Caenorhabditis elegans: one gene and its partners. The protein of the gene in region 1 interacts with the protein of each later gene in a pairwise test. Each region holds a gene or a part of one and is shown in the gene's direction. Other genes may lie near its edges.

The links.
Region 2: the proteins of unc-83 (region 1) and sma-1 interact in a two-hybrid assay, tested with the Caenorhabditis elegans proteins (one large-scale study listed by BioGRID).
Region 3: the proteins of unc-83 (region 1) and unc-15 interact in a two-hybrid assay, tested with the Caenorhabditis elegans proteins (one large-scale study listed by BioGRID).
Region 4: the proteins of unc-83 (region 1) and picd-1 interact in a two-hybrid assay, tested with the Caenorhabditis elegans proteins (one large-scale study listed by BioGRID).

What each region holds. Positions count from the first base shown.
Region 1 is NC_003283.11:6,461,763-6,469,146, forward strand, and holds the start of unc-83 (Nuclear migration protein unc-83), read left to right. Parts: upstream 1-3,302; 5' UTR 3,303-3,450; coding exon 3,451-3,522; intron 3,523-3,671; exon of another isoform or gene 3,672-3,871; intron 3,872-4,624; exon of another isoform or gene 4,625-4,805; intron 4,806-5,242; coding exon 5,243-5,341; intron 5,342-6,202; exon of another isoform or gene 6,203-6,411; intron 6,412-6,547; exon of another isoform or gene 6,548-6,687; intron 6,688-6,830; exon of another isoform or gene 6,831-6,970; intron 6,971-7,181; exon of another isoform or gene 7,182-7,330; intron 7,331-7,384. UniProt on the Caenorhabditis elegans protein: Cargo-specific adapter that is involved in nuclear migration during development and thereafter.
Region 2 is NC_003283.11:11,896,843-11,904,325, forward strand, and holds the start of sma-1 (Spectrin beta chain), read left to right. Parts: upstream 1-2,606; 5' UTR 2,607-2,721; coding exon 2,722-2,788; intron 2,789-3,065; exon of another isoform or gene 3,066-3,237; intron 3,238-4,265; coding exon 4,266-4,528; intron 4,529-5,153; coding exon 5,154-5,333; intron 5,334-5,942; coding exon 5,943-6,227; intron 6,228-6,272; coding exon 6,273-6,656; intron 6,657-6,702; coding exon 6,703-7,483.
Region 3 is NC_003279.8:7,375,889-7,386,351, reverse strand, and holds unc-15 (Paramyosin), read left to right. Parts: upstream 1-3,154; 5' UTR 3,155-3,268; coding exon 3,269-3,385; intron 3,386-4,521; coding exon 4,522-4,578; intron 4,579-4,624; coding exon 4,625-4,711; intron 4,712-4,780; coding exon 4,781-4,891; intron 4,892-4,938; coding exon 4,939-4,994; intron 4,995-6,065; coding exon 6,066-6,285; intron 6,286-6,592; coding exon 6,593-6,697; intron 6,698-6,819; coding exon 6,820-7,751; intron 7,752-7,800; coding exon 7,801-7,930; intron 7,931-7,979; coding exon 7,980-8,756; intron 8,757-9,030; coding exon 9,031-9,057; 3' UTR 9,058-9,465; intron 9,466-9,530; 3' UTR 9,531-9,748; downstream 9,749-10,463. Other genes in the region: col-35 (Nematode cuticle collagen N-terminal domain-containing protein), read left to right, coding at 1-445. UniProt on the Caenorhabditis elegans protein: Structural component of the muscle thick filaments which is involved in assembly and organization of sarcomere myofilaments. Involved in ovulation.
Region 4 is NC_003283.11:101,142-108,699, forward strand, and holds the start of picd-1 (Pry-1 Interacting and CABIN1 Domain containing), read left to right. Parts: upstream 1-3,684; 5' UTR 3,685-3,688; coding exon 3,689-3,769; intron 3,770-3,827; coding exon 3,828-4,819; intron 4,820-5,857; coding exon 5,858-6,346; intron 6,347-6,883; coding exon 6,884-7,297; intron 7,298-7,558. Other genes in the region: rps-27 (Small ribosomal subunit protein eS27), read right to left, coding at 2,329-2,454, 2,770-2,895.

The sequences.
Region 1 (7,384 bases):
GACGGAATGGAGAAAGTGTGTAGGAAGCATTGGTTTGTTGTCTGAATCATCTGTACTACCGCCATCAGCCTCACCCTTCACAAAGATCATTCCAGCTTCCCATTTTTCTTTTATCCGCTAGAAATGAAGCGTATGGAAGGTGATTTTTGGGGATTATATGTACTGTTGTATTGGACTGTAACAAAGTACGTCTAGATTCTGCTAACCTAGAGGCTCTTGAAGTTATTTTCTCTCAACTCCATTTTTGGTCCGCTTTTTAGAGCTGCAAATATTTCGAGCACTTGTTGACAATAAATAAAGTGGTAGTTTTTTTATAACAGCACAGTTATAATAGGCATTTGGCTCTAGTTTCTTGGCCAAGCTTGGCCCAAAAATATTAGCTTACTATTAGAACAAAATTTGGTAAAACTTGGGGAAGAGTTGGTTTAGGCTATGATGAAGTGTAACCCAACTTTGGCCGAAGTTTTGTCCAAAATTTTTTTGAACTTGGCAAGAGTTTGACAAAAAATGGGTCAAACTTGACCAAATGTTTCCAAAGTCTTCCCAAAACTTGCCCATCGTTTGCCCAACTAGTCCCAACTTTTGACACAATTTAACATTTATTGAGTTCAACTTAGATAATTAGCTAGAGCCAAACTAAACATGTTTTTGACATTTGTGATGCTATCAGAAAATTATTTTTATGCAATTAAAATAAAATAAACACTACTTACTAATTTTCTATAGAACCTCGTGTTCCTTTCAAAATTACAATACGATCCATCTTGTTCCCACAATCACTCTGCTTCTCAATCATCTGTCTATCTATGTCAGTCTCTATAAATATATTCACATGATCAATTTCTCACATTTGAAAAAATTGGCACCCAGCCAGCAATGTTGCACTGTCTTCCTCTCAACCCTTCTACTCCCACACGCTTGCCCTAGACTATCATTCTTCAAAAAGAAAACTAAAAACAGCTCGATAATCGAATGTGTGTCTCCTGATGGTTCCCACGTCGTCAACACAAACTGTTTGACTTTTTCAATCATGTCTTTGACTTCTTCAACTGTCTGCGTTTCTTCCACACATACACAAATTATCATTTCTTTGTCGTTTTTTGTCTTGGTGCTGACCGCCTTTAGTTACAGGCGCCCGTTGTTTTCTTGCATTCCTGCCAATTTTCACAGTAGCAATCGAGATAGTATCAGGTGGTAGTAAATGTTTACGTGTCGACTGAGTTTTTCAACCTTTATGACTCCATTGGCATAGGAGTATCAAGTAAATTATCAATGAACTGATTAGCATCATGTTCATTTTGAAGATGACATTGTTTGAAAGGTTTTCGGAGAAAAGGAAGTATTCTGAAATATTGGAATTTAAATTAATTTCTATTAATGTGCTTACAATTAATATTGAAATTTTAAAGTGTTTTTGGAAATTCTCTGCTGGCATTTGAACACTCAAAATTCTTCAATTAACTGATCAGCTCAGGCATAATTTTCTTTTGAAAACTTTTTAATGGCTTTACGCATTTTGAGAAGGAGCTGAAGTTTTCTAACTGTTTTTGAAAGTGTTACCCCTCTATGAGTCACTGGGGGCAAACGAGAAGCGCAGTTTGGGCGACATTTTGTTGCATTATCAAATAAAAACGGTTGTCTCTTCTTTTTTATTATCAACCAATGCAGAGCCAACATTCTACCAAATTGATAGTAATGCAAGTACTTGCCGTAGATTCCCTCAAACATTTGAGACAAAGGGCCTAAATAGTTTTAATTGTGAAACAAATTAGACACGACGTTCGAAGTTTATTCTGCAGTTTTGGTAATGCGTTGTAATTTTGATGTTAGTCTAGAAACAAATGTTTTCTTTTTGAAATTTTGCAATGTTCTTCAGAATATTTCAAGTATGAAATTTCTAAATTGTACTTCAAATCATTTCTAAAACTCGTAAAACATTCGGGCACTACAAAGTGTTCCTTTTCTACTTTAGTATCACAATGTTTCGCACATTGGTGATAAATGAGCCGGGGCTGTCTGCCGTTTCCGACTCCATTAACTTGGGTCCATTATCCCATCGTTTCACTGTGTTTCTATCACATTTATTGGGGGAACTTCCTGTTGCAACAAAACCAATAAATTCGAAAAGTGTCAGGGCCATGTGCTGTTGGACATCTATTCGTGAACATTTTCAAAATTTCGATTTGTTCCTTTCCAGTTTTCCATAGATTCAATTTTAATTGAAAAATGAATGGGTGGAAACTTGAATTTAAAAAAAAGGAATTTAATTCAATTTTCAACAAGTTCAAAAATATTTTTTCCAACGTTTTGTTAATTGATATTTTCCAGAACTTTCTAAATCAAGTTACATTTTTTTTGAAAGCTACAACCTATTTTGTAGTAATTTGGAAATTTCTTGGACCTCGTTGTGATAATTTCCATAAATTTTGCTTAATATTTTTTATTGGAAATCACGAGACTTTTTCACACAAAATAAAATCTTCCAGCTGATTTCCCTGGTCCAATCTCTTTTTTATCACTTTCACACCTATCTCTTCATATTTTCATATCTTCATAAATCTTCATAAAAATTCATAAAACAATATCTCCATCATAATTATCATCTTTTATTATTTTATCAGGTGTCGAAAAGAAACGAAAACTGTGTGAATGACATGATAATCCATCATCATCACAAGCTTCTCTTCCCAACTCTCTAGATTCTCCTCTCTCATCAGTATTATTGTTTATTAAGGCGGAGACTTCGGATTGGGGGGCAGATTTCGAGCATCTCACACTTTTCTATGTTTATCTTTTAATTTGCGAACATTTTTGCGGGCGATGGCTTGTTGTCCAGGGCATGAAATCCATGGATTTTTATTTGGATTTTCAAAAACTGGCCTAACAAATTTTATGGAAACCGTACTATACATAAGTAAAACATTTATGAAGTTTTTCGTGTGTTTCTACATTTTTATTAAAAACATTTTTTATTATCTTTAAAAGGATGTTTTACTGCTCGACACAATTTTCATAGATTTTTGGTAAACTAGGCTAGTTTTGAATTGAGTATATATTTTGCAAATTTTCTATCCTCAATATGACTTGAATTTCCGTTTCTTGACTTTGATCTCAACAGAAATCTCTTCTTGAAATTTATTTTCAGCTCCAATGAAACAACTAATCTCTTTTTCTTTGTTTTTCACGAAATTTTTCCTATTTTGTTCTACACACAAAAAATTGTATATACTTTTTCTATTTTTAAATTTTCACCTCATTTCGTTTTGATTAAGTATTTTTCCGTCTAAACTAAATTTTTCCAGATCCGTTTCTCATCCGTGATCATATTGCGCAGATGCGTAATTGATCGTCCACCCCTACCAGTACAGTATCCCACGTCTGGATACAAACTTCTCTGATTTTTTTATTTTTATTCCTGGACACCGAAAGTAACCCGAAAACAGGTTACGAATGGACGTAATGGACTCATTCTCGGAGGTCGAGATGCCCAATGATATATCATCGGAGGACCATCTTTTGAAGGTGAGGCAGAGCTTTAAATTTTACGAAAAAAAAATACTTTAAAATTTTCAACGCATTTTCTTGCATATTGAATTCATTTGAAAAGTAAAATTTCGTTAAAAGTAGGAGAAAAAAAATTAAAAGTTCGATTTCTTTATTCAAACCAAAGTAGAATGTAGTTTTTTTCTAAACCAAAACGAGCGAAAATAATTTTATTTTTCAAATCTATTTGATTATTGAAAGTGCCTTTTTGAAAAATGCTTGAGCATTTACCCTTGCGCCATCAATTGTTTGCAAAAAGCTGTCAAAAAGCCCGAGAGGCCGAGTTTTCAATTTTGGCGCAAAAAATCCCGAATTCCACGCTATCTTTTTTTTTCTTTCGATTGACTAAAGACGAACGGCTGAAGTTTTTTTTCGCTGTGCTTCAAAGATTTATAACTGGAGGTGGAAAGAGTTAGTGTCGCACATTCAAATTCCGCATCGTTTAGTTTTTCTTATCGAATGTTTTGATCTGGTGGGGGACGACGAAGTAAATTGAATTGAAAACTGTGGTTATCTTGAAAAGAAGTTTGAAGGAGAAAGTGTAAAACTATTGATGACGGGAGTTTAAATTTCAAGAGATTTTAAGACATTCCCATATTTCAGTGTGCGAAAATTTATCATTAAAAAATATTAATTATTTCTATGTGCTAAGTACATTTATTAGCAAAAAAGCGCAGAATCAAGTTCAGACAACATAATTATATTGATCTTCAGAGATTTTGCACATAATTTTGAGAGCCATTTTTCAGGAAAAACATAAAAGTTATCAAAATTGGTCCGCTAAATGATGTGTAAAACCTTTAAAATGCGATACTTTTTAATATTTAAAAGATTCGCATGAGAAATAATTGACTGACACCTTAGGTTCCTTGTAAAATATTTCATTGTATTATTAGTAAGTATAGGTATTTCCCAGATTTCCTTGTTAAGGTACCGCAAAGTCAACACATTCATGGACACCTTTTTTTGTTGACTTACCCCATATTTCTCTTTTTGTTTCCAAAAACAATATGCGGACCATTGAATCCTCACGCCATTCACACACATTCCCAGAGCGCGACTACTAGTAACTTTGTTTGGCAAAAGCTGTTAGTAAGAAGAGAATGATTCCGAGTGCCCAATACCATAAGTGTTTCTCGAGGTGCGCATCTCGGCAGTGAAGAGCAACTTGCAAGTTCGAGTGCATTTCTCCAAACTTGGTTGTTCCTACACAACGATTCCTGTGCCATGTTCCTTGATCCTCTCAATTTTGGCAATTGAATCGATTAACGTCAGGTTTACTCTTCGTTTTATTGCAAAGTGGGCCGCCCGGAAGGTCGAGAAATCGTAAATTGACTCGGAATTACCAATTTTACAGTCACACTGAAAGCAAAGCACTTCTTTTTGGTAGAGCGGGTGGCCATTGATTGTCGTTAAATCGTTTGTGAGGGTCATTTAGAAAAATGGGCGCATATTTTAATTTTTCAGAATAATTTTGACAATTTTAAATAATGAAAATAACAAATTACATTTTTTTGAAAATCTTGTTTCACCTTTTTTGGTTTTTTATTTGTATCAAATTATAAACTGTTTTATTAAATTGCACTACGCAGCTGTACAAGATCGAATTGCGCGTGTACAACCATCGTTAAAAATATCTCCTAGATATCTTTCCAGCTGTTACTTTGCCCATTTTAATGATCAATAATTTAATTTCCAGGTCATCGAATCGTCGGCTGAGGAAGTGGATATCTTTTTGGAGAACTGCTCCTCGCTCTACAATTTAATCCTCGACTCGTTGCACAACCTCACCTCAAAAGTAAGTCTTATTTGTTTTATTGCTTGTGTCGTTTGGTTGCCATGGATCAAGTGAAACTGGGAGAGTAATTAGGTGTAGCTGGCCTCAAAAGAACCTCCTGTTTTTCTCGATTTTCTTCTAGTTTTTCTTTGAACAAAGTTTTTTGCTTAGCCCTCTGATATCAAGATCAAGTTTTGCAAACTTGAGGCAGTTGTCCATTTGATTGAGCAAGAGATAGCAATAGTTTAAGGGGTCATCAATTATCAAAAAGAGAAACGTTACGAGCCTGTCAATTGAACACAAGCCTGGTACGAAAATATTACGGCAGATGTGGTGATGGATAACTGAAAACATTCACTTGACAAGCCTTTTGCCTGTGCTTTAGGGAATTTTTGAATCTTCCAAATACAGTTTTTACATAAAGTTTACCAGAATTAATTTCTGGTTGAAGTTTCAAGACTTGTTGATCTAGGAATGATAAATTAAAATAAACCCTTCCCATTCACAAAAACATAGCTAACTTATTCTTGCTCTAACTAGTAAGTTTTGTTCACTCCATGAACTACATCTAAATTTAAGCGGTTAATCATAGAGTAAACAACAAAAAAAAACCAATTTTTGAAGGTATAAAGTTGTACTTCTCAATATCCGATGATTAAAATTTTTAAAAAGAAAGTATCCTCAAATCGTTTGCTCTTTTTCAATGAGATAACAAATGACCACTGCAACTCATCTCTCTGTGCTTCTTATCCTCCCACACTCATTCAATATACTCACCCAATTTTTGTGGCAATTGCCGTTTGTTTGGAAGGTCACCCATTAATCAAATGTAGTTGGTTGATTGTGCAACCTCTACTACTAAACATTTTGATGAAGATCCTTCATTTTATCTGCCACTGACTCCTGAGAAAATGCCACACATTTCGATTCAATTAGCTTTCCTAAATTATTATACCAAATAGTATCGAATAACATCTCGCCCCCCGAACCACAGAAAAGTGGCCCCCAATAGTGTGCGCAGTTTTGCCGTTCCGAATGAAATTGGAGATTGTTGAGAACCAAGAGATAGATGGGAATTGAGTTGAAGTTATTGTTAGAAATTTTAAACTTTTCAATGATAAATTTTGACACAATAGGGGATCAGGTTGTAATTAGAAGATTACCAATTACTTTTTATTTTCATCACTCCAAAAAAGTACAACTGAATTTTTCAAATATCTAGTGGTAACCCGAAAAACTCATGTCAACTTTCTGAATCCAAAAATGCTGCAAATTTCTTGTCAAAAATGCTGTCCACAGCAAATCCCCAATGGACGTGTTCCGATTGAGGCAGTGTTTGCTTACTTGGGATGTGTTACTCTCGTTTTCTTATTCGAACGTCCTCCTTTTCTTTTGGGGAGTAACATAATCCCGTTCAGACAGACACAGATTGAGCAGATCATTTGTTTCCTTTTAAGTGGGTTGGCACATTTTGCTCTTTATTTTTCGCTTTTAGATAACTGAGATGCTAATTTTTTTCAGATCACTTAACTTCTTTAGTGAACTTATAATGTTGTTTTTGAAAAATTGTTTCCAAATTCTCAGAAAAAGATATCAGAATCTGGATATTTTCAAATTTTAGAACGAGGCGCACTTTTATGTTTTTTTCAAAACTTTTTCAATGTTTTTTTAACTGATTTTGTAAAATTCATTTGCCTTAAATATCAAATTTTTTGAAGCAAAACATAATGAAATTCTTCTCAAACTTAAAGCCTTCCATCTTTAGTTCCAAAATTCGTTCCGCATTGAACAATAACAAGATATAGGGGCGCGAACATGCGTGAAGAATACGAGAACAGTAACGGAAGAAGAATAAGGAGAAAAGACACGGAGTCATCTCATGTTTGCGGATTGTTAGTTATACCACCATCGGGCACCCGAGTTGTCGTTGAGCATGCTTAGCGACAGGAGCACCAGCGGTACACTTCACGCACCCGATACTCGTCTTATTCGTCCACTCGAAGGGGGGCTTAGACTCACTGTACTCTTCGTTCTAGGTTAGAGCATTAGGGCAAAAACTATTTC
Region 2 (7,483 bases), 5.4 Mb from region 1:
TTTATTAAATGGGTTTCACGTTTTACTATAATAAATAATTTTACTTTCAAAATAAAATTGATGACCATAAATAGTAATTTCTGGTTTTTTTTCAATCTTCGACTTCCGATTCTTTGTAAGTTACGGTTTAAATCTGTTCATGTAAGCTTATATCTTTTGTAGATCTATAAATGATTTGTTTTAAATCTATAAGATTTAAAATACACAGTTATATTTTACGTGTTTGACAGCAATATTAGCTTTAAAATGAACCTAATTAGATCTAGAAACCGATACTTGTGCTTTCCATGCAGAATTTGAAGAACGAAGTGTTTCTAGTTTCTTCTCGTAATGAAATTTACATGGGATTTTTCACTACCCCTGTAAAATTGATTCTTATTTTATCACTCAACTTGTTTTTGAAATTTTGTTTCCCACCTCTTGTAAATTTGAAATTCTATGTATCTAACGGGCAATGTCCTTGGGAATGTGTGCACGTGGTATCTTAGACAACATAGGTGTTCTTTTTATAATCTAGACAGTGTTCCTTCTAGAGTAATTCATACTTCACTAGTTGTTCTGTTTATAATATACTGATATACCAAGTGATGGTGACACAGTTTTTAGAGATAATCGACGCTTATTCATCAGTTAAATTTCTGAAATATGTAAATCTGCGCTGCGCAACATAAACCCTTTTCGATGAAACAAACCCTACAGTGTCTACTTTAATTTATGCGATTTTTCTTCCGGTCCTTCATTCCTTCAGTTTCCGACATTTGTAGCACATCTGGCGACGATTCATACCGACCCTGTAGCACTTTTTTGTTCAATGTGTTCGGCACAAGGTTATGCGCACTTCGCCTCTTTCTCCTATTCGCTAATACTAAACGAAACTTATCGCATTTACATTCTCACACTTCCACTTTTCAAAAAAGTAAAGAATACTACTTGTAAGGTGGTAGTGGACGACTGTCGGTGTCGGTTTTGTCGAGATTTCGTCTTTCATTCGACTGATCGGACAACTAGATACACTGAATTAGGTGGTGAAAGAAACTTTTCTTTTGAAAAAGGAGAGACCTACGTTTTTCTTGTCCGTTTCATTTCACTGCCTTCTGCCAAAATATGTGTGTTTTCTCACTGTTTTATCATCCTTTCAAAGTCTTGATTTTTTGGCTCGCAGTTTTTATGGTTGTCGTGGAATTGTTTGGTTCTCTGTTCCTCTTTGCCACAAAAAGTTTGTTGACTGTAGGTTAAAATTCAGTACTCTTTTAAAGATTTTTTTTACTGTAAACTACACGATTGTGAAAGAAACTTAGTCGTATTTTGTCAGCTTCAGATTTCGGCAAATGTTTGAGTCGGGAGTACAGCTCTGTTTATCTACATTTCCATTCTCTTTTCAAAAGTTGTTTCCCAAAACACCTGTCGACCTGTTACCCGTCCATAAATCATGCCAATATCATTGTCAATATGACGGCGTTTATGGTCAAGTATACCTCAACGAAATGCGTCAACTCTGACGCATCCGTGTTGACAGACGAACTCAACTCATCATAAGTACACAAATGGAAACGTATACACGCGTTGAATGAATAGATTGAATTCCTAGAAATGGGTGTGTTTTTTCCTTGAAGAATTGATCCATATGCGTTGTCGAAAAGTTGTTCTAAAATAATTTTCTGAATAACTAGAAGTTTTACAGTAATTAAAGTTTTTCGTTTGTTCAGAGATACTTAGTATTCTTAAGTTGCCTGTGCATATTCCTGTCATGCCTGTTTAAAGTAACTCCAGTGGGATTAACTATCAGAAACTCTCCCTAAAATAATATACGAATATCATAATAAGACTTTTATTTGAAAAAGTTTTTTGTAGGCAAACACCAAAATAACTAAATGTCCTCCACTCATAATTTTTGAAGTAGTCCGAAACATTTTAATATTCTCATATTTGGATTATGTTTTAAGCATTTTATAGGTCCAAAAATGAGGCATTGTTTTAAACATTTCCAAAAACCGACATTTTCGAAAATTGGCAATTTGCCAAAACTTTGAACAAGAACATGTATGATGTCTTTTTCTAGAAGTCAACAAATATTGTCAACAATAAACAAGAAATCATAAAAAACTATAATAATAAGTGGGCTGCTCATGGATAAGAACAAAAAGCGGTGTTCTTCCTGGCTCTTGAAACAGACATGTTTGAACTCAAGTGCCCCACTGTGGCGGTCAGCTATTTTTGTGTTTGTCAATTTCCGCCACCGGAATCCTCGATTTCTCGCCCATTTCGGCCACCACTCAATTGTTGCCGCCGCTGAACATTCCTTCCGTTCTTTTCCCGTCAGGCGAATACACATATTCGATACTTTTTATCCATCGCGCCGATCGATGGATGTCTTCTAATCGTCTCCGACACTTTCTCCGTTACTTCTTTCTCTCTCTCATCATATTCGGATAGTATTGTATAGAGAGACTCGGCAAAGGATAAACGAACGCCGGACGTCGTTGCAATTGAACACAGAAGAGATAAAGATTATATAAGAAGTTACCTTCTGAAGACTGAGGAGGAACCACCACGGCTACTGTCCGAGTGTCGCCGTGTTTCCTTGACCCTTTTTCTCCATATCTGACAAGAATCGAACACGGATTGTCAAGACTGTTCATAACGGAGGAAATACTACCACTTACTATTTTTCGACTTTGCTATATACATAATATATTCTTGCTAATATTGTGAAGCTTTATCATGTCGTATGTGTCGTTCGCGGCAAGCTACTCGCCTGGAGAAGGCAAAACAGTTCGAAATCTCAATGGTATGTGCTCTTTCATTTTAAATTCTTTGTAATAAGTTTTTCAAAAAAATTCTGAAATTATTAATTTGATTTTGGGCACATCAAAGTAGGTGCAAATTAGTTTCTGCAAACAAATTTTCTAAATTTTTATATTTGTGTTAAGTAGTCTTCTAAATTTTGGCGCTTGAATATATAATAGATCGAAGTAAAAAATTGTATGAATATTGCTAATTTTGGTGTTGTTGTGTTATATGCATTCTTGCACATTCTCACAGTCTGCTGCATTCCTTTCTCTCTTTATTTCTTCGTTCTCTCTATATGGAAGTGGCGAGAGGGTAAATATGCAACACTGCATACCATCAGTAGAGCGTCCATAGAGCCGTGAAGGAAAAGGGCACAGTGATAGGTGGTAGTGTTGAAGTGTCAATACAATTTAGTACTTTTTCTCTTTCCACATATTTTTGTCGCTATTCTAAAGTGAATCATTGTCCTCTGTGTCATTTCGATTTGCAATTTACCAAGTATGAGATATTTATGTATCTGTCTTATTGGGATCTCTATGCTGTGACAGATTGCTTCACTAAAATAAACAAAGTTCCAATAGCATTCCCTCCGTTGTCTAATCCATTTTCTGTTCTCACTTTTTGCCCCCTGGGTTCGTCTTTACTAATGAGTTCAGCAACCATCCCGCGGAGCACATTTCAGTGACTCATTCTTCTTTTTCGCAGTGATAAGACGCTGTTATCAGATGTAATAAACACGGGGAACGCCCCCACCTCCACAATATACCTTACTTTTAAAATTTTGAAAATTTTCGTGACGTTTCGAACTTTCTCTGCTTTTTTACTTGAAATTTAATCTGTCAATGTTTTTTGCTGGACATTTATAGCGATTGCTAAACACGTCTCTTTTTTGTTTAATTGCAGAATAGTTCCAACATTTTCTCAGAAAAAATTTCATTCGAAAAGCTTTCCAATTATTCCATTTTCTTTTTTGTAAGCCTTTTCTGATTCCAGTTAAATATTACTAACTTTGTTTGTGTCGCGTCGTCGTACGACATCCGACGTACAAATTCTTAATAAGTCATATTTCACGTGAACATTATTACGTGAACTTTGCCCACACACACAGAAAATAGTCGCACACATAGGAATGCCACGTGTACCACGTGTGCCACTCTTTCACTGTTTATGTTCGGCGAAACATTTCTTTATTTCAAAAATCTTTCACTTTTCTTGAAAGTATTTTGTTGCTGGATACAATTTCCCGTTTTAATTGTAAGTTAGGTTCAAACTTTTTCTCTGAAAAACGATGTGATTCCAAATATTAATAATCTTTGTCTTTTTTGTGCCACGTGGGCGTCTCTGTTGCATATCATTTTGATCATTATTCTCTTCAGAAATGTATATATAACTTGTCTTTCTTTTTTCTCTATCTATTAGTCACTTAACTACTCAAGAAACTTTCAAATTTATCAACTAAAATGTATATTTTTCAGACAAGGTAGAAGGGTATCGCAAGGAGATTGCCCCAAGTCGCGAAAACGTTGACTTCGATCACTTGCGAAGAACACCTAGAGATCCTTTACCGGAGAACGACTATCAGGCGACGAGCAGTACTGGATTATCGAGTGGGGAAGTAAAACCCTACCAGTACCGCGACTATCACCAACATCAGAAGCACGAGTATTACGGCGAAGGAGTGAACGACGGTGTATCTGAAGACAACGTTGAAGACAAAATGAGAAAATACGAAATGCAGGCAAGTTTATATTTATGAACTAGACAGGCTTTTTAAAGTAGCATCAACCTGTAGATCGAAAATGAATGTTTAAACCTATTATGATTGGATTTTAAGATAATCCGATTACGCGTTTGAAACATAAATCCCAATTTTGCCAATAGTCAAGCCAACACATCTAATATTTTTGTCAGATTGTAGTAGTTGTTTATATTTGCTCTAAAAGTCATGCCGAAAAAGTTAATTTATTCAATATCTATGAAATCAACAGCTTCATCTCCAACCCCAAGTGTTAGAACATTACCTGAAGAACAGGTAGTTGCTGTTTTTTTGTTTTATAAATTGTTCATGACTCATGAACATTTGGAGATCATTCATTTTCTTAAAGTAGTCAGCTGACGTGCTCTCATACACTCTATGTTATTTCTGTTTATCATTAAGGTCGGCAAGCGTCTCTCCCGGTTAGGAAGGCTATGCTGTCAAAACGGAAAGACGCTGAGCTAGTAAATATTTGTTTTTCCTTATATGTAACAATTTTGGTTCCGTAATATTATTCTGGAAAGTTTTAAAGATCCGAAAAAAAACTGAGAACGTTTAGAAATATTTAACAGTTCAATTAGCATCAAGTTCATAATGATTTTTTCAGGTTCGTGTTCCAACAAGTGGTGCACCACCAGTTCGCGCAGATGCCAATGGAACAGATCAAGACGAGTTCAATAATGAGACACTGTACTTTGAAAGATCACGCATTCGGACACTGCAGGACGAACGTGTGCACATTCAGAAGAAGACGTTCACAAAATGGTGCAACTCCTTTCTTAATCGGGTAAGTTGTGATAACAACTGATTGGAGTATTTGATTCTATAACGGCGGTCATCGTTAACACGAGAGTGAATAAGAGAGACGGGTAGAATTAGAGGGAATAGGTGAGGGAGAAAGGTTCAATTAGTCGGAAGAATTGTTTACGGAAAGAGAAGAGGATAATGCAACGGGAAAGTAATGCGGACCAAGATGACCTTGCAAATTCCCTTATCTTTATCTGGAGATCAGTTTGCATGCAAGAACGAAAGGAATGTTCGGATGAAAACCAATGAAATCAACTGAATTCATTCGTTGCATATGGGGTAGAACCAGTGCGGAATTTGTCAAAATACACTTGATATAGTCTAAAAGAATATATTAACGTAATTAGAAATTATAAATGTTTTTTTAGAGTTGTAATTTTCAATCTTAGCAAAATGGCAACATTTTGCAAAGTTTGGGGTTGAAAAAATATAATTTGAAGATTGGTATTTGAAATCTTATCATAGTTAATCACAAGGGTAATTATAAATATTTGAAAAAATAAGAATATAAATTTTAACTTCCAAAACTGTGACTTGGTATTAATATAAGTTTAGGAATTAAAACCATATAAGCACAACAATTTTTCAGGCAAGTTTGGAGATTGTTGACCTTTTCGAAGATGTCGGCGATGGTATTATGCTCATGAAACTTCTTGAAATCATTTCCGGAGACAAACTCGGAAAACCGAATCGTGGCCGAATGCGTGTGCAGAAAGTGGAAAATTTGAACAAAGTTCTTGACTTCTTGAAGAAAAAGAAAATCCAATTGGAAAATATTGGAGCCGAAGACATTCTTGACAGAAACGAGCGACTTATTTTGGGTCTCATCTGGACGATTATCCTCCGATTCCAGATTGACACTATTGTCATTGAAGTGAGTTTAGAGAAGCCATTGTTTGTTTTAGTTTAAATTTTTCAGGATGAGGAGGAGCGTGGAGAGCGAAAACATGCCAAAGATGCCTTGCTGTTGTGGTGTCAGAGAAAAACAGCTGGATATCCAAATGTTCGCATCGAAAACTTCACTACAAGTTGGCGCAATGGATTGGCTTTCAATGCACTTATCCATTCGCACCGTCCGGATCTTGTCGATTTCAATCGTCTCAATCCAAACGAGCATGTGGATAATCTGAATCATGCGTTTGATGTGGCTGAAAAGAAGCTTGAGATTGCACGTCTTCTTGATGCTGAAGATGTTGACGTTACCAGGCCTGACGAGAAGTCAATCATTACATATGTTTCCTTGTACTATCATCATTTTGCAAAGCAAAAGACTGAGATGACAGGAGCTCGACGTATTGCTAATGTAAGTGTTTATAAGTTCATGAAAAAAATTAACAAATTGTTTTCAGATTGTCGGAAAACTTATGGTTTCGGAAACCATGGAAGATGATTATGAACATATTGCTTCTGAGCTTCTCAATTGGATTCGTGTTACTATCAAGACATTGGAATCACGTCGTTTCCCAAACTCTCTTAATGGAATGCGCGAGGAACATGCCAAATTCAACCAATTCCGAACAAGTGAGAAACCACCAAAGTACAAGGAGAAGGGAGAACTCGAAGCTCTGTTCTTCACAATCCAGACTAAAAGAAAAGCGATGAGCAGAAAACAATATCAACCACCACAAGGACTGTTCATGCACGATATCGAGTCTGCTTGGGCACAATTGGATTATGCCGAAAATGAGAGACAAGTTGCTATCATTGCCGAGCTTCAAAGACAGGAAAAGTTGGAACAACTTGCTCAACGATTCCACAAGAAGGCCAAGTTGAGAGACAGTTGGCTCAGATCAGTTCAAGTGGTTCTTGAAGAGATGGAACACGGTCGCAGTGCATCACAGGTTGAAAAGACGTTGAAGAAGCAACAAGCAATTTCCACTGATATTTTGGCTCGTGAAGATCGCTTCAAGATGTTGACAGCAATGTGCAATGAGTTGTGTACTGAAAAGTACCACGAATCTGACAAGGTTCGAGGAATGGAACGAGAAATTATTGACCGATGGACTCAGTTGCTGACTTTATTGGAACAACGTAAGAGAGCTCTCATGAGTCTGAATGATCTGATGTCGTTGCTTCGTGATATCGACACCCTTTCAAATGAGCTTTATTCTTTGGAACCAGCTGTCAGGA
Region 3 (10,463 bases), on another chromosome or scaffold:
GGGGCCAGATGGGCAGCCAGGAGCACCAGGACCAAATGGACAACCAGGAGCCGCAGGAACTACAAGTACCAACGAACCGGGATCTCCTGGACCGGCTGGACCTCCAGGACCAGCTGGACCAGCTGGAGAAGACGCTGCTGCTCCAGAATCCCCACCAGGACCACCGGGGCCACCGGGCCCACCAGGAAAAGACGGAGAAGCAGGAGCTCCAGGAGCGCCAGGAGGGCCAGGAACAGATGGAGCACCAGGAGTCGACGCCGCCTATTGTCCATGCCCACCAAGAACAGCAGGATTGGCCCAAGAAGCTCCAGCAGGTGCTGCTACAGGTGCGGATGCAAGCTCTGGAGCTGCCGGTGGTGCACCGGATGCAGGAGCTGGAGCTGGAGATGGAGCCACAGGAACATACAGTGGAAGCGCTGTCGTCCGTCGTCGTGCTCGATTCTAATCAACTTAAATTTTTCTGGAATGTGATGAATTTTATTGCAATAAAATTTCTTCAAGCTAAACAGTATTGATTTTATTATTTTCAGCTGTAAACATTTGATAACATGAAACAAAAAATCATAGCAAAACCACATAAGCTCCTCTCGGTGCTTTCGAATTATTTTAGATATTTGTATAATATCAGAACAGTAACTTTCAAATGATTTCGAAACTATCTTCAAATACTCAATTCCGAAATTTTTAAAATTTTTTTCAAACAAATTTTTTTTTTCTAAAATCTGAACATTTTGACATGTTCCCTCTAATATTCTTTTGAAGATTGATCTCATGTTTCGGCTGAAATTTTTCATTATCGTCCTCCTTTGCTGAGTATCTATATCTCTTTTCCTCCCAGTTGCCAATACTTTAAAACAATAATGCGGGGCCGAAAAATGCTTCTTCATTCTTGCTCCTCGAGTAGCACAGAGAGAAAGATCCTCTGTGCTCCCGGACCCTTCTGCCATTTCAACGAAGGCACAAAAAGAAATGTGATAGAGAAGCATGTGTAGTAGAAGAAGAGTGTGAGATGTGGGCTTGTCACTGAAGAGTTCAGAGAGTGTACGGTGGCAAAAAAAGATATTGAGATGGCAGTGGAGACCGATGAGAGAGAATGGGCGGCTTCTGGAGGGAATTCTATTGAAGAGATTCTTTGTAATGATCACGAAAAAAATGGATGGACAAAAGATGGAAAGGTGACAAATATATAGCTATTAATCAAAATTGCATAACTTAAAAATATGCAAATATCTTTAAAAAATGTTGTTTTTAGATCTTCTCCTAATAAAAGGAATAGTGCTAAAAACAAAAAAGATAAAATGAAATACGGTCTACAAGTATATTTCACTTTAACATGTTTCACTGCATAAATCTGGAAGATATCAACAAATTAAAATGCTTTGATCTACCTTTGTTTTGGATAGTTGTCTACAAAATGATAAATCCAGTAGTTCCAAGTTTCTATCTTGAGAGAAAACTTACAGCATTATTAGCATATATTCTCGAAGTTATGTTAAAAATAATTTTAACAAGCGGCAGCACTGCTAGAAATCTTGTGGAAATCGTATGCAAGGTTTAACCAAAATCTGGCCTTACTAAAGTCTAACAAAAACTATTCAAAGGTATGTCCACTCTTTGTAAAAGTTAAATATAAATGGTCTACCGTTTTCTATTACATTTTATAAGTTTTTGTCACGTTTTGGAATGGAAATGTGCGACAATCGATATTTCCTCAGAAAGTTGTTAGCGGGGTAAAACCATCCTAGTTTTTGCAATCAATAAACATCAACTTACAATGTTCAAGATTTTTTCTTTATAATCAAATCTGAAATTAAGTTCAAACGAATGTCAGTACATTTCACCATCCCCTGCTTCTGCAACCAACTAATTATCTCGGTCATCACGATTTGTCAGCTGACACTGCTCAACAAGAGTATTTTGTTGTCTGGTTGATCAGTCGTAATGGAAGTAAAATTCTGAAAATTTAGAAAAGATTTTGAAATTTCACAACACTTATTTAAAAATGACATGAGTCACAAGAAGTAACGGGATTTGGAGTGAAAACGTTGATTTTTTGACGTCATGACACAATTTCAGTTTGAAAATCAGTTTATCAAGCCTATTTTTCATTAATGAAAAAACATTCGGAAGAGCCGATATATTGGAAATTGAATACCAAGTTATTATAGAAGTAATAAAAACTTGATTTCATCACAATTTGTTGTGATACGCTCCCCCACCCCCTCACACACGCACACACACACACATTCTCCGGGATACACTCAATTATTACACACTTCGCACTTATTTCTTCAGAATATGAGATCCAAGAACTTTTTAAAACATTGATCAGATCATATATGACAAGGCTATCAATTAAGGAAGTGTATTAATAGATATGGACAAGAAGAGAGCATAACTATCTGTAATTAAGGAATTTCAAATAGTTGACAACCGAGTTTTGGAATTCTTCAATATTTCGACTGTATAGACGTATTACCATTAATAGAAGACTTTTATAAATTTATGAAAATGGATCATCTAAAAGGTAACAGTATAGTTCTGAGAAACTTTAATGAAAATTGGAGACAACCCAGGCTTGAAGAGCCTGAATAAAGTAAGAGTTGATTACTGATAGGTGGAATGGCATTCGATTAATGGCAGTTCAGTCTCGCTTTTTCTGGTTTTGTGTTTCTTTTTTCTTAAGTGGTCTTCGTTTTACTATCCGTTCGTCAAAGTTCACACCTGCCCTTTCGGACATTCAAAAGGCACACACAAACACGAGTTGAAGTTTTTGGTGGATCCCGATGTTTTTTGTCTGTGCTCATCCCTTTTTGCTGAATTTCTTCCGTGTCGCCTCAACCCGAACCAAACCAATATCATTCGAATGTTTAAAACCTCCTGGCCCGCGGGTGCCTGATGCATCGTCTGCGCTTCGGCTCTCGGCGCGCTCTTCTCGAGATCGTATCCCGCCAACTCGTTGGCAAAAACACAATGGCATTTATCAGATACGCAGCGTAGAGTGGGAGGGTGGCTCAGTGCTAGGCAAGAAGGATTACACTGAGGCTCCTCTCTCGCTCCCTGCCGGGCACACTACCTTCGTAGAAGTTGATGATGAGAGATACTTGGAGACAGAGAGACGATCGACGACGCAACGGCGCGGGATGAGATATGTGTGTATGTGTCTTCCCGACGGCAGAGCCCCAACGCACAATCAGTCAGTCTCGAAGCAGCCAGCCAGCCAGCAGCACACACAGGGGCACCATCCATTTGAATACTCCATTTGATCATGTCATTGTATCGTTCGCCATCCGCTGCTCTTCTTAAGAGCCCGTCGCAAGCAGCGTTCGGTGCTCCATTTGGCAGCATGTCCGTCGCCGATCTTGGATCACTCACCAGACTCGAGGTAAATTTTTGAATGTTTTCTACCATTTCTGAACATTTCACTGCCAAAACCCCAAAACCCGTGTTCCATTTTTCATCGAATCGATGTTTCATTGACTGATATTTTGAATTATATCTGTAATTTAAATTTTAGTAAAAAAGGCATCTAATATAGCAACGAAGAATTGAAAAACTTGAAAAATCTCAAATTGTAGTTTTACAGTACTCCTCAGTCTCAAGAAAAATGTTTGTTTTGTCCCTAAATTGAATGATTGACAAATAACGGCGTTTTCAGTTTTGTAAATATTATTTTTCTGCATCAAAATGTATGGAATAAAACAATATTCCGAGCCAAAACACTATTTTCAGAAAAATTTTTAAACTTCCTAGTTTTCTCTATAATTAAACCTTTAGATTCCTTATTCTAAATCTTCATTTTGAAAAATCTGTTCATCATTCATCTCGGCAACTAGTTTCTTTGTGTAACTAAGATTTGCAACCTTTGTTTAACTTACTGCTTGCTTACATATATTTCCAAGAAAAAGTAGAACCCTAATTCTCAGATTTTCAAATATAGCACTTATAAAAAACAAAAATTACGCTTTTTTTCTTTGAAAAAACAATTATTTTTTGACCCCATATTTTCTCATGGTTCTAGCTACTGAATTTGCGATTATTGCCAATTGCCTGCAAAAACATTTTGTCAATTAAAATAAAAACAATTACCAAATCATTCGCTGGTCTATTTCCAAAAAATGCACTCTACGTCTCTCATATCTATAAGCTATTTTCACGTTTCTCTTATAATCTCCCACACTGTGTTGTAAAATTTCGAAGAAACCTAATGCATTATTTGTTAAGCTTAGATATCAATTCAAAAAAAAAACTAAATGGTAATATCGAATTGTATGCTACGAGTGTATTCTTGTCGTTTGATCTCAAGAAATTCCGGGACATTTAAATTTGTGACGTCAGGATGTTTATCTTCACAGTACTTTAAAAATATTCCCCACTCGGCACTAAATTTATAGGTCCGTGTAATAAGGTTCATCAAGAAGTTCAATCAGAATCGGAATCCATACTTTTTTTATCTGAATCAGTTCTTGAAACAATTAATTCTTCAAAGATTTTACAAATTAATACAGTTTCACTTTTCAGGACAAGATCCGTCTTCTCCAAGAGGATTTGGAATCAGAGCGCGAACTCCGCAACAGAGTGAGTTTTTACCTTTTATCTCTGATACCATGATTGCCATTTTCAGGTTGAACGTGAGCGTGCCGATCTCTCCGTTCAAGTTATTGCTTTGACTGACAGACTCGAGGATGCCGAGGGAACCACCGACAGCCAAGTGAGTTTCCAGTTTTTATGAATTTCAATTTAAAGAAACATCTTATACCTTTAAACATTATAATTACAGATCGAATCGAACCGCAAACGTGAGGGAGAACTCTCAAAGCTTCGCAAGCTCCTCGAGGAGTCTCAACTTGAATCCGAAGATGCCATGAATGTTCTCCGCAAAAAGCACCAGGTACAGTAATCTTTATGCTATAGCTTAAAGAATTCGTGAAATTTTAGGATTCCTGCCTCGACTACCAAGATCAGATCGAGCAACTCCAAAAGAAAAATGCCAAGTAAGTTATTATCTTTATTTTCTAAGTTTTTTTTCGTATTAGTACTTGTGCCTTCATTTTCTTCTTCTTCTTCTTCTATCTTCCCGCGTTGAAATGGCAGCGGAGGAGTTGGCGGCTCGGCAGAAGCTCTGAAGAAGAAGTATAAGAAGATGAAGAAGCATCAGCTCAAAGTGTGTAAAATAACAAACGTTTCTCGTGTGTGTGTGTTTGTTTCGCCTTCCAGGAAGAGATGAGAGAGATACAAGAATGTCTGCGTCTTACTGATCTTCTCAATATCTCTCACATTTCTCTCATTGATCTTGATGCTTGGCGAGCAATCTGCGTTCCCGTGAAACAGTGGTGGTGGTAAAAAATAATGAGATTAAGTTGGGATGAGAAGTTGAGATGAACGGGAAGGGGACAGCTTGAGAACTTGAATGACGAATGCATGAACATATTATAGAATATTTAAAAATGTAGTAAGGATCAAACATTATTTGTTTCATAACAAGGGGTTGCTAGCCTAGTCTTGCACCTCCTATCCTCTAGTTTTACAGCTCATATCTCGGTTATTTTTCATTTATGAACACATTTCAACAACAAAAATGCGTGAGAAATCCTGTATATTAATAGGAAAAATACTGTATTTTTCCCATTTAAATTACGATGGATTCATTTTATGATGTCTCTTTTTTTTGCTCAAATAACTTTCAATGAAATCAAGGAAAATCTTCCGTAATTTAAAACACATTTCTAGAATCTATGTTAATCTTTTAAACAATGTACATAGATGATCTATTCAGTTGTAAAATAAGTTTTAGTTGTTCCCTTCTTGCGTTCAAAAATCTTCGAGTTCAACTTTCCCATGAAAATAATTGTGTGCAACTCTTGACGTAATGTTTTTAAATCCAAAATTAGTTTATACTTTTCCACCCACTATCAATAGTTTCACCTGTCCAAACCGGCTGCTTTCTGACATCATTCATAGCCAAACATATTGTTGACACATCAAGAATTACTTGTTCGCCGCTGCTTGACTTTTTGTTAAATTCCAAATATCCTCCCATCCCACGCAATATCATCATCATTCAGGATCGACCGCGAACGCCAACGCGTCCAACACGAAGTCATCGAGTTGACCGCCACTATCGACCAGCTCCAGAAGGACAAACACACCGCTGAGAAGGCCGCTGAGCGCTTCGAAGCCCAAGCCAACGAACTTGCCAACAAGGTCGAGGACTTGAACAAGCACGTCAATGACCTCGCCCAACAACGTCAACGCCTTCAAGCTGAGAACAATGATCTTCTCAAGGTTTGTTTTTTGAAGTATCATGTGTATAATCTCTAGTTTTATCATCTTTATCACGTGCCACCGATCACTCTGCTCATCTTTCTACTTTTTTTTAGCAAAAAAATGCGGTAAAAAGAAAAAAAGAAACCCCTTTTAACAGGGGGTTTCTTTACTAAATTCTCTATTTTATCGCTACTATTTCCGCAGAGTGTGTGTGCAAATAGAGTACTCGAGATATTAGAAAGGAGGATGCTCTGTGAGCCTCATCGTTTTTTTGTCTCGTTCAGTGTGTTCTGTTAGCAGATCAGGGATCGTTAATGTTTTTCAGGAGGTTCACGACCAGAAGGTTCAACTCGATAACCTTCAACACGTCAAGTACACCCTCGCTCAACAGCTCGAGGAGGCCAGACGTCGTCTTGAGGATGCCGAGCGCGTAAGTCTACTAGTCCAAAGTGCCAAATTCAGAGGCGGAAATATCGGGTTTCTTCCTCTGACGCATTTCTGGACATTAAAAAAGCATAAACGTGCGAAGATCAAAGAACGTTGAAATTTCAGGAGCGCTCCCAACTTCAATCTCAACTCCACCAGGTTCAGCTCGAGCTCGACTCGGTCCGCACCGCTCTCGATGAGGAGTCGATTGCCCGTTCCGATGCTGAGCACAAGCTCAACCTTGCCAACACTGAGATCACCCAGTGGAAGAGCAAGTTCGATGCTGAGGTCGCCCTTCACCACGAAGAAGTTGAGGATCTCCGCAAGAAGATGCTCCAGAAGCAAGCTGAGTATGAAGAGCAAATCGAGATCATGCTCCAGAAGATTTCTCAACTCGAGAAGGCCAAGTCTCGTCTTCAATCTGAGGTCGAGGTTCTTATCGTTGATCTTGAGAAGGCCCAGAACACCATTGCTCTCTTGGAGCGTGCCAGAGAACAACTCGAGAGACAAGTTGGAGAACTCAAGGTCCGTATCGATGAGATCACTGTTGAACTCGAAGCTGCTCAACGCGAACTCCGTGCCGTCAATGCTGAGCTCCAGAAGATGAAGCATTTGTACGAGAAGGCTGTCGAACAGAAGGAGGCTCTTGCTCGCGAGAACAAGAAGCTCCACGACGAACTTCACGAAGCCAAGGAGGCTCTTGCCGACGCCAACCGCAAGCTCCACGAGCTCGACCTCGAGAACGCCCGTCTTGCCGGAGAAATCCGTGAGCTCCAGACTGCCCTCAAGGAGGCTGATGCTCAACGCCGTGACGCCGAAAACCGCGCTCAACGTGCCCTTGCTGAGCTCCAGGCTCTTCGCATCGAAATGGAACGTCGTCTCCAAGAGAAGGAAGAAGAGATGGAGGCTCTTCGCAAGAACCTTCAATTCGAAATCGACAGACTTATTGCCGCTTTGGCTGATGCCGAGGCCCGCATGAAGTCCGAGATCTCTAGACTGAAGAAGAAGTACCAGGCTGAGATCGCTGAGCTCGAGATGACTGTTGATAACCTTAACAGGTAAATACTAATTTTTTCAACATTCAACCCTTAAATTCATAAATTACAGAGCTAACATCGAAGCCCAGAAGACCATCAAAAAGCAATCGGAGCAACTCAAGATTCTCCAAGCCTCATTGGAGGATACTCAACGTCAGTTGCAACAAGTTTTGGACCAATATGCCCTCGCTCAACGCAAGGTGAGTTATCATTTTTGTGGTCTCTTAATTCATTTTTATATATGTTTAGGTCGCCGCTCTCTCTGCTGAACTCGAGGAATGCAAGACCGCTCTCGACAACGCTATCCGCGCCCGTAAGCAAGCCGAGGTTGACCTCGAGGAAGCCAATGGACGTATCTCCGACCTTATCTCCATCAACAACAACCTCACCTCCATCAAGAACAAACTCGAGACTGAGCTCTCCACCGCTCAAGCTGATTTGGATGAGGTCACCAAGGAACTCCACGCCGCTGATGAGCGCGCCAACCGTGCTCTTGCTGATGCTGCCCGTGCCGTTGAACAACTTCATGAGGAACAAGAACACTCGATGAAAATCGATGCCTTGAGAAAGTCTCTTGAGGAGCAAGTCAAGCAACTCCAAGTTCAAATTCAAGAAGCTGAGGCTGCCGCTCTTCTCGGAGGAAAGAGAGTCATCGCCAAGTTGGAGACCAGAATCCGTGATCTTGAGACCGCTCTTGATGAGGAAACCAGAAGACACAAGGAGACCCAGAATGCCTTGAGAAAGAAGGATCGCCGCATCAAGGAGGTTCAACAACTCGTTGATGAAGAGCACAAGAACTTCGTTATGGCTCAAGACACCGCTGATCGTCTTACCGAGAAGCTCAACATCCAGAAGAGACAACTTGCTGAGTCCGAGTCCGTAACAATGCAAAACCTCCAGAGAGTCCGCAGATACCAACACGAGCTCGAGGATGCTGAGGGCCGTGCCGATCAAGCCGAGTCCAGCCTTCACCTCATCCGTGCCAAGCATCGTTCATCTGTTGTCACCGGAAAGTCATCCTCCAAGGTATTTTAATTTTCTTTTTTTGTTGAAAATACTTTGATTTGTCAATACTTTAGATTTTATGTTAAACGCTCATAGTTAGAATAGACAAATACTTTAATCAAAAATGGTTCTAATTTCAATAAGAAAATTTCAAGAATTGTTTTTGTCTGTGTCGGAAAACAGAAATCCTGAGCAACTACTACTTATCATTTTATCTTTAAAAAAATTTGTTCCCAACACCTTAATTATTTTACGTCACTTGTTTTTCACATTTTTCGTTTGTTTTTTCTTGCAGATTTTCGTCACGGAAGACGATTATTAAACATCCCAAAAAGCGTCGCCATACATCAAATCATCAAATAAATTGCTAATAAGATGTGTATAATTGTTTTATTTTTCTTCTCTATTTCTTTCATGTTCTTCTTCTCTTTCTTTTTAAATTTTCAATTATTTCTCTCCCCAACAAATGCGCCCATCCGCTTTTTCTATCGTTCTTCCATCACTAAATCTTCTCGACTATCTTTTTGTTCTGTCCCACTGCCCCTCGTGCTTCTGACTGACTGTCCCCCAATCAATATTTCGAACAATTAGGTCAATCGAGCGACATCATTTCCCACCCACAATTCATGTTTTCCCATCAATTTTTAATACAAATTTATTCAATGTTCCATCCAAACCATCCCGAGTCCCTGGTTGCATAAGAAATCGTCGTCAATAAAAATTTTGATACAAATTAAGCCTGAAATTTCAAAGTAAAACAATAAAATCAAAGTCTTGACGAGATCGCTACCTGCAGATGAGATGATGCAATCGCAACCAGGATACGGTAGAAATTGTGGTATGCGCTGTTTTCTTCTCATATCCCATTACTTTCCTACTTCTCTTCAATTTTAATATTCAAAGTTTCGCCTAGATGATAATTTTTGTTGTTTTATCCAATCAGTTTTTATCATTCGGGCCACAAAACACCCCCGTTTCACAACAATAAAAAATGTTAAAAACAAATTAAAAAATATTTTATTTCAAACATTATTGCTCCAAGTCTGAAATTATTCCAGATGGAATCACATCCGAATAGACTTTAAAGTTAGAGAAGCGCCCGTGAGAGCTGTGATATTTGGTAATTTCAGTAGAATAAGATAATTTTTGGAAATTATGCCAAAAATCCAAAATGTCATTTTTCATGAAGAAGGTAATTTCTTTTTATTGTGAAATTCGCTCTGAAGCATTTTTGAATTGGTTCCATATTTTGAAAGCTTCAAAATGGTGTAAAAAATAAATAAGATGTATTTTCAAAGTTCACGATAATAACCCGCTTGACTACTTTCAAAAAAAATTGTTCTAAGAATACCGGAAAGTGTATGGAGTCTGGAAACTGAAAAACACTGAAATATAACATTTTGATTAGTACTTGAAAAATAGCAATAATTGAATATACATTTTAAATTAAAAGTGAACTCAATATCATATTTTCTAGGAATTCTTATTTTTATAGACACTTTTTATAGATTGTAAAACAATTTCAGAATCAATTTTATAAATTGTTTATTGTTTATAGCACATTGTTCCCATAGAGCACATTATTCAATTATTTTGTAATAATTGAGAAAGCTACATTTCAATTCGGTTACTCTCGATGTTCAGAAAAACAGAAATAAACTAATTGCGTAAATAATTCTATTTGGCCCGGTGCATTTAATAGATTAATCATTGAACAAAAGACCAAAT
Region 4 (7,558 bases), 6.4 Mb from region 1:
TGCGCCTCTCCTTCCGCATTTTTCGAAGATCAAAGCGAAATGGGACTTTCTGACGTGCGAAGATGAAACAGAAACAGGACACTCTGACACCATGTGAATCAGTAGATATTATAAAACTATCAGTTTATGAGAATGCCTACTTTCTGGCGCGAAAATAGCGGCAACAGTTGAAACTACAGTACTCTTTAAAGGTGCACACTTTTTGAATTTAACTAACTAGAACAAAAAATTGTCGCGGTGAGACCGGATACCGTATGTTTGGCGCAAAAATCGCAAAATTTCCCGTCTGGGTAATAAAAATTACAGAATTTAAATTTTTCGGTAAAATCGGAAAACCGAAATTTTGACGATTTACATGTTTTTTTTGAAAATACGCTTATAAAAAATTAACTCGAAAAAATCTCAGCAAATTAAAAGTGCTCTTTTTTCCACTTCTACGACTTTAAAGGCGGTGCACTAACGCGCCATCCATTGATTTTTGAAGAGCGTGGCGAGACCAATGGGTTGCGCGCGACACACCTTTAAAGTCGCAGAAGTGGAGAAAAATGGACTGTATGTTCGGAAAAATGTTCAAAGTTTTTAAAAAGTATAAGCTATGTTTTTAAAAAAATCTAATTTTTTTGGCTGGATACTCTATTTGAAGTTGTAAATTTCAAAGAAAAAATACTCAAGCGGCATCACATAAATATCATGATATTCGGAATTTCAAAAGCACGTCTGCCTGCGCGTGTATTCAAATTTTCGGATTACGCGCACTTTGGCTTAATGCCAATACTCCACTGGTTTCGGTTTGCTACAGAAATATTTGAGAAAGAAAGAAATTGAGAGAAAGTTTTACGGGTTTTGCCATATGGAAACGGATGTTTTTCTAACGCGGAAGAAAAATGGAAACTGAGAAGAATCGGGTAAACACAATGGGAGGGATGCTCCAGAGGAGAGGCTATCTCATTTGTCGAAATTTTTGAATTTTTCGGAATAAAAATATATTACGGGAACACAAAATTCTGAGAATGCGTATTGCGCCACATATTTGACGCGCAAAATATCTCGTAGCGAAAACTACATTAATTTTTTAAATGAGGTTTTCCTTCATTTCTTCATATTATTTTATTTGTTTTTTTTGCTTCATTTTAATATTCCATCTATAAATGTGTTTATTATTTTAATTCATTTCGATATCAAGGCCCGTAAATCGGCAAAAGCACTACAGTAGCCATTTAAAGAATTACTGTAGTTTTCGCTACGAGATATTTTGCGCGTCAAATATGTTGCGCGATCCGCAATTTTGTGTTTCCGGATCTTGACACGACAATTTTTTGTTAATAATTTTAATCCATTTTCTTAAACGAAAAACTGATCATGAAAGATCCGCAGCAACGAAAAGTTCAAAGCTACAGTACTCCTATTTAAAGGTGCACACCCTCTTTCCACAAAGAATTGTCGTTTCGAGACCGGGTTAACACTTTTCGTTTCAGATCATCGAAAAATCAAAATAAAATGTTCGGGAAAATATCAAACAATTTCAAAATTTCATCACATTTATAAAGAAATTTGTAAAAAAAAATGCATCTACACAGAAACAAGAAACAAGCTTTTTCTGGTTTCTCCACAACCTATTCGTATTCTCATTTACTTTGGCACTTTCGATATGACACTTGTCGTCGAATCTTGCCCCCCCCCCGAAACATGGGCCCAATTACTGTACTAATTATTCCGCATGTCTCATTACCTACCCGTCTGTATCTCCTTTTTTGTTTCAAGTGTGGCGTAAAGGAGAAGCTTGTGGTGGTGATCCGACTCATCTATTTTCAAGGTTTTGGGTTTGATTGGGAAAAGGTAGTAGTACAGAAAAGTGGGGAAGGATTATGATAATTTGAGGGAGCGATCAGTGGAAAAGTACACTGATAATCTCCGATGAGGGAGGGGAGACACTACTATTCTTATTACCTATGCGCGGAAAATGATTTACTCGTATATTGAGTGGGGGGTCTCATTTCACTCGGTAACCTAATCCTGAAAAAATAAATATCAAGAATAACACCTGAAAATTGCTAGCCAGAAGCAAGTACCTTGCCAATTGAAATGGCATTACGACCCCCGTTTTCACCCTCATTACCAGAGACGAGACAGCCAATGATCCAGTTGTTTGACATTGCTAACGGAAGAGAAGCGCCAATTACCTTTCATTGGCAGATTTAGGAAACAATTTCTCAATGTCTGTCAAATGGAAGTCGAACACACAAAATTTTTTTAAAATCACATTGTTTTTCTTTCAACCAAAAAAAGGAAGGATTTGAAATAACAATTTATGTAACAATTACGGGAAACTTATTGCTTCTTGCGGAAGGAGCATCCCTCGGTGAGCTTGGCCTTTCCTCGGGTTGGCTGGCAGAGGACGGTGTTGCATCCAACGCAGACGACGACGGTGGTGGCGTGCGAGAAGACGGTCGAAATCTGAAAAAAAAACCGAATTAGTATGGGAAAATTGCATGGTAGAAAAAAAGTGAATTTGAGCATATCTGACGTGAGAAATATATTTATAGACCGAAATTAAGGTCATAATCATCATGAAATGCAAATCCTAAATAATGATTGAAAGGAAAATTTTCGTAAACGAAAATGGCTACTTCTCGGAGCATTAGATGTTGAGATTTAACAAGTTGAATACAAGAATCGTTCAATCTCAGAAAACGGGCGGTTTGTCGCACAAAAACTTTTGAAACAACAAATTTTCATGAACAGCTATTAAGCACATAGGCTCAATCTTACCTTGAAGCATCCCGAGCACTTAACGTCCATGAAGTAGGAGTTTGGGTGTTGAACAAGACGCTTAAGCTTGTGGCATCTGATCTCCCTTTGTGGCTCTGGGTGAAGAAGGTCAACGGCCAAAGGCATTTTTATTCCACTTGTTGAGCGGGGCTGGCTGAAAATATGTGAATTGAGAAAATAAATAGTATATTTGAAAGAAGGGAAGACGAGATAAACGGAAAAACACGATTGCGGAACATTACGAAAAATTTCGAAATTTATTATTTTTTTAATAACATTTGTTTACCGGCCGGACAAGACAAACCAACTTCGAAACGAGGAATAAATCAAATTTCATATTTAAAATGAATCAAAACCCATGATTAAACGAAATGACAAAAATCGATAACGTGTATAGAACGAACTCAAGCTGAACCGAGAACCGAGAAATTCAGGGTTTTTAGTATTTTATTATTTATTTTAGTTTTATTTAAGCTGATAATTTCGAAACGTTATGATTTGAATAAAAATCGTGGAATATTGATATTTTCCCAAAAATTCCACTTGGTAGAATCACAAATCTAGGCAAATTGGCCGTTTTCTATCACAAATTACGAGCGAAAACTACAAATAATGCAATTTTTATATACTTTTCTAACTAAAAACCTGAAAAAAATATCGAAAAAATCGGGAAAACAGTTGAAAAACGGGAAAAAAAGGGTTAAAATTTTAGGCCCAGCAATTTCATCGCCTTCCGCAAACCGTGCGGTGGGGCGGAGAATGTAATGGTGCGGCGCGGTTTTCGGAGTGTCGTAGCGCGCTGTGTTTATCGTAAATCGGCGCGAACTCTTTTTTGAAGCAATTTTTTTTGGTTTTTATTGAAAGTTAGTCTCAAAACTCGTATTATTTTAAAATTTTTTTATTAAACTAAAATTTAGAAATGGAAGAACCATCAGAATTGGGCGCAAGCAAGGAAAAACCGATTGAACTCAATGAAGACGACGAGTCTTCCGACGGAGAGGTTTGTGGCAAAGCTTAAAATTCACGGAAACCAGCATTTTAATTCAATTTTATTGCAGAATTCCGTAATAATATTGGACAGCGACACAGAGCCTGAAGATGGCGCCGGCGGTGAAGAGGATGAGGACAATGGTGAGGATTCAGAAGAAGAAGATGAAGAAGACTCCGACGAGGAGGAATCTGAAGATGATTCCGATAGTTCTGTGGATACGGAATCTGTGAATTCAGTCTGGTCTAATGTTGATGAAGAAAACGGCGAGGAAATTACAACAGAAGCCGCTGAAGCAAAAATTATAAAGAAATTCGAAAAAGCCATTTTCTCTATAGCCGACAACGACTCTGAAACAGGCCGACGGATTCTGGAAAAGCTTCTAAACGACGCAATAATTGCCACATACAACCAGGAGAATCCAGACTTTGAGCTGCTCGACGAGCCACCGAGATTGGCGAAAATGCTTCAAGTTTTCATAGCGAGCCACCGGAATCTGGCGAAATTATGTGAAAAAGAAGTGGAAAATGCGGATGAAAAGGAGAAGGAGCAACTGAAAAGTGAAGAAATTCAACATTTATGTCAAGTTCTGGCTTATGAACCGAATAGTTCGGATATTTGGCTCGACGTCGCACTTAAATCAATAGAATTCGGGGATTTAAACTTTTCAAAATATGCTTTCAAACGGTGTGAGACCCTAAAAGAGTCCCTGGAATCCCACGCAACTCTGCTATATTTAACGTGTGATTACAACGAAAGTCTGATGATTATGAAACAATTCCAAGAGCAAAATGATGTGTTAAATGATAAATTAAAGTACCTGAAGCATAAAATCCGATCCACAAATCAATATTATAAACTATCGTGTGATCGAATTTTCGAGGAAGATGAAGTTTATGCGGACGTCCAAAGTGTTGAAAAACGGAAAATTCAGGATTTCGACGAGCGAATTGAGGCGTTGCGGAGCCGAGTTGTGGGGAAAATTGAGCAGCGAGACGTAGATTTTCGTGATGAAGAGGAGAAGTGCTCTGTGATTCCGATTCGAATTGAGGCCGATCAGGAGTAGAATTTTTAGCCTTAAAAATACTGAAAAAGGAAGAAAAATATTCTTTTTAATAAGCGAAAAATTATCAGAAAAAGCTATTTTTTACCTGAAAAAATTGCTCTGAGCTTGTTTTTGTTGAATTTTCTAGCCAAAACTTGATCTGAGCAGATTTGTAAAAAAAATACACAAAATCCCACAATTTTTGCAGAAAATTTTTTAAAAAAGATATTTAACAAAAAAAGACGGTTTGAACAATATTTTCGCAATGATCGTCGGAAAAATGCGAAAATTTTGTAACTGTGGAGAGAAATTGAGGAAAATTATACGAATCTGTGCAGTTTTAGCCGATTTTTGTTTTTAAAAAAATTTAACGTCAAAAAAAAAATTCAACTAAATTTTTAGGTTTTTATACAAAAAAAATGTTGGAAATTCTGGAAATTTGGGTATTTTCGGCACGAAATTAGAGTAAAATTCATTTAAAACAATTTCAAACAAATAAAAAGGGTTAAAACGGGATAATTTGCACAAATCTGACCAGATTTAGCTGATTTTTTTGAGAAGAATTCTGGAAAAACGTTGTTTTTTTAATCTCCACTTTTGCTTAATTTCACCAAAAATCCTAAATTTTGCCAATAAAAGAAACTTGAATTTTCTGAATTTTCTCTCCAAAACGCGAATTTAAAAGATAAAATTTGGAAGTTTATTGAATTTCACTTTTTAAAAAATGTTTTTTACGGGAAAATTTTCATTTAGAAAAAAGATCAAAAAATACTGGAAAACCACTGAAAAACTATTATAATAATTTAATTTTTCAAGGAAGTTGTTGCCAATTTCTCGAAAAATAGTAATTTTCAAGTAATTTGAAGAATTTTCGCGCATTCTAATTTTCAACAAGTAATTATCTTATGCCGGAAAATAAATAAAAAAAATGATTTAAAAATAATTACGGTCTATTTTCTGTCATAAAATTCAATTTTAAAAATTCAATATGCTCCTTTTTTGGCAAAAAAAAATTAACTCAGATAGGCTTAAAATAATTTTTAAAAAATTTCCAGTCTCCAAACAGTTTGCACAATTTTCTGCGACCTCTTCGACCGTATCCACGCCTATTCTCACTGTCGGCATCAGCTCATCGAGTTCACCGAATGGGAATCGCGGCGAGACCATCTAGACGTTCTCGACACAGTTGAGCATCTCGTAGACGTCGTGGAATGTGTAGAGGACATTTCACAGAAAGTAGAAGAGCTGGAGAACCTGAAACGTGGAGCAAAAGGACGTCGGAAGAAGCAGCAGCAGAAAGATGAGAAAAAAGAGTATTTGGCGAGCTGGAGGAAGAGATTATTTGTGGAAAAGAACTCTGAGGAGCCTCCAATAGTGATCACTATTGATTCAGAAGCTTGTACAACTGCTGATGAGGATGATGAAGAGAACACATCACAGATTGAAGAGATTCTCGGAATGCCCGAAAATGAGTTGGCTCAAGAGTTTGAGCTGGTTTTCAGCGAGCTCAAGTCGATTAGGAGTGGCGGAAAACGAAGGGAACGGTAAAAATCTGAAAAAAAAACATTGATTTTTATTGTGATATAGTTTTTTAAAAAACTTGAAAAATTAATATACAATTTAATTTAAGAAAAAATAAAGAATTGCAAATATTTTTTAATTCTCTGAAAATTTTTTTAAAAAATTACCTTTTATTCTGTTTTATTTCAGAGAAAATTTTTCAAAAAAAAAAATAAATTTTGGAAAAAAACGAAAAAATAATCTGCTGAAATTCTGAAAAATTCCAATATTTTTTTTCTATCAAAATCGAAAAAAAACCCTTCTTTGTTTCAAAGCAAATCAATCCAATTTTTAAAAAGAAAATTTGAGAAAAAGCCCGAAATTTTAAAGATTTTGTGGAGAAAAGCTTTTTTTAATTGAGTGTGAATAAAATCAATCATCGAAATTTTGCGAATTTTATTTTAAAAATATTGATATTTTGGCTGAGTTCTCCCAAAATTGCTAAAAAAAAAAGAGGAATTTTTAGTGAAATTTTTTTTTTCTGAAAATCTACATTTCCATCTTAATTTCTAAAATTTCAGAACTCCGCCACCATCAAAACCTCACGAATTCATCGATTGCGACATGATTCTTCAACTTTTGGAAACAATATTCTCTGGTGAATCCCGTTCGATTCTAGAGATCCTGGAACACACTCTATTCCTAATCTCCGATCATACCCCGGCTCACGGAGCACTTCCAGAAAATATGAGAGAAGTAACGAGAGAGATGTACGCCAGGCTTGCACTTTTCGATGAGATTTCTGATAAAAAATTTGAGAAATTGAATGTGATGCTCGTGGAGCTCGACTCGAAAAAGGCGATGCAAGTGGCAGTGATTAAGTATATTTCGCCGTTTTCTGGCGGAAATTCTGTGGAAAATGGAGAAGAAACACGCGATGGGATCCTAAGATTTATGTGGAAATACGCTCAAACTGGGCTCAAGGATGAGATCAAGTACGGGCAAAAATCTGTAGAGATTATGAAAAAAAAAAAGCAAAATTTTTTTCCCAGTAAAACGCAGAAATTTCAGCATTTTTTATCGTTTTCCGAGAAAAAATATTTGGAAATATTTATTAAATTTTTCCTTTGAAAATTGACAAAAGATCGAAAATGTTTCATTTTTTTCAAAGAAAAGTGGAAAAATGGAAAGTTTTCTCGAAAATAACAGAAAACGGAAACCTTTAATTTTTAAATAAGTTTTTCTGAAAATCAAAA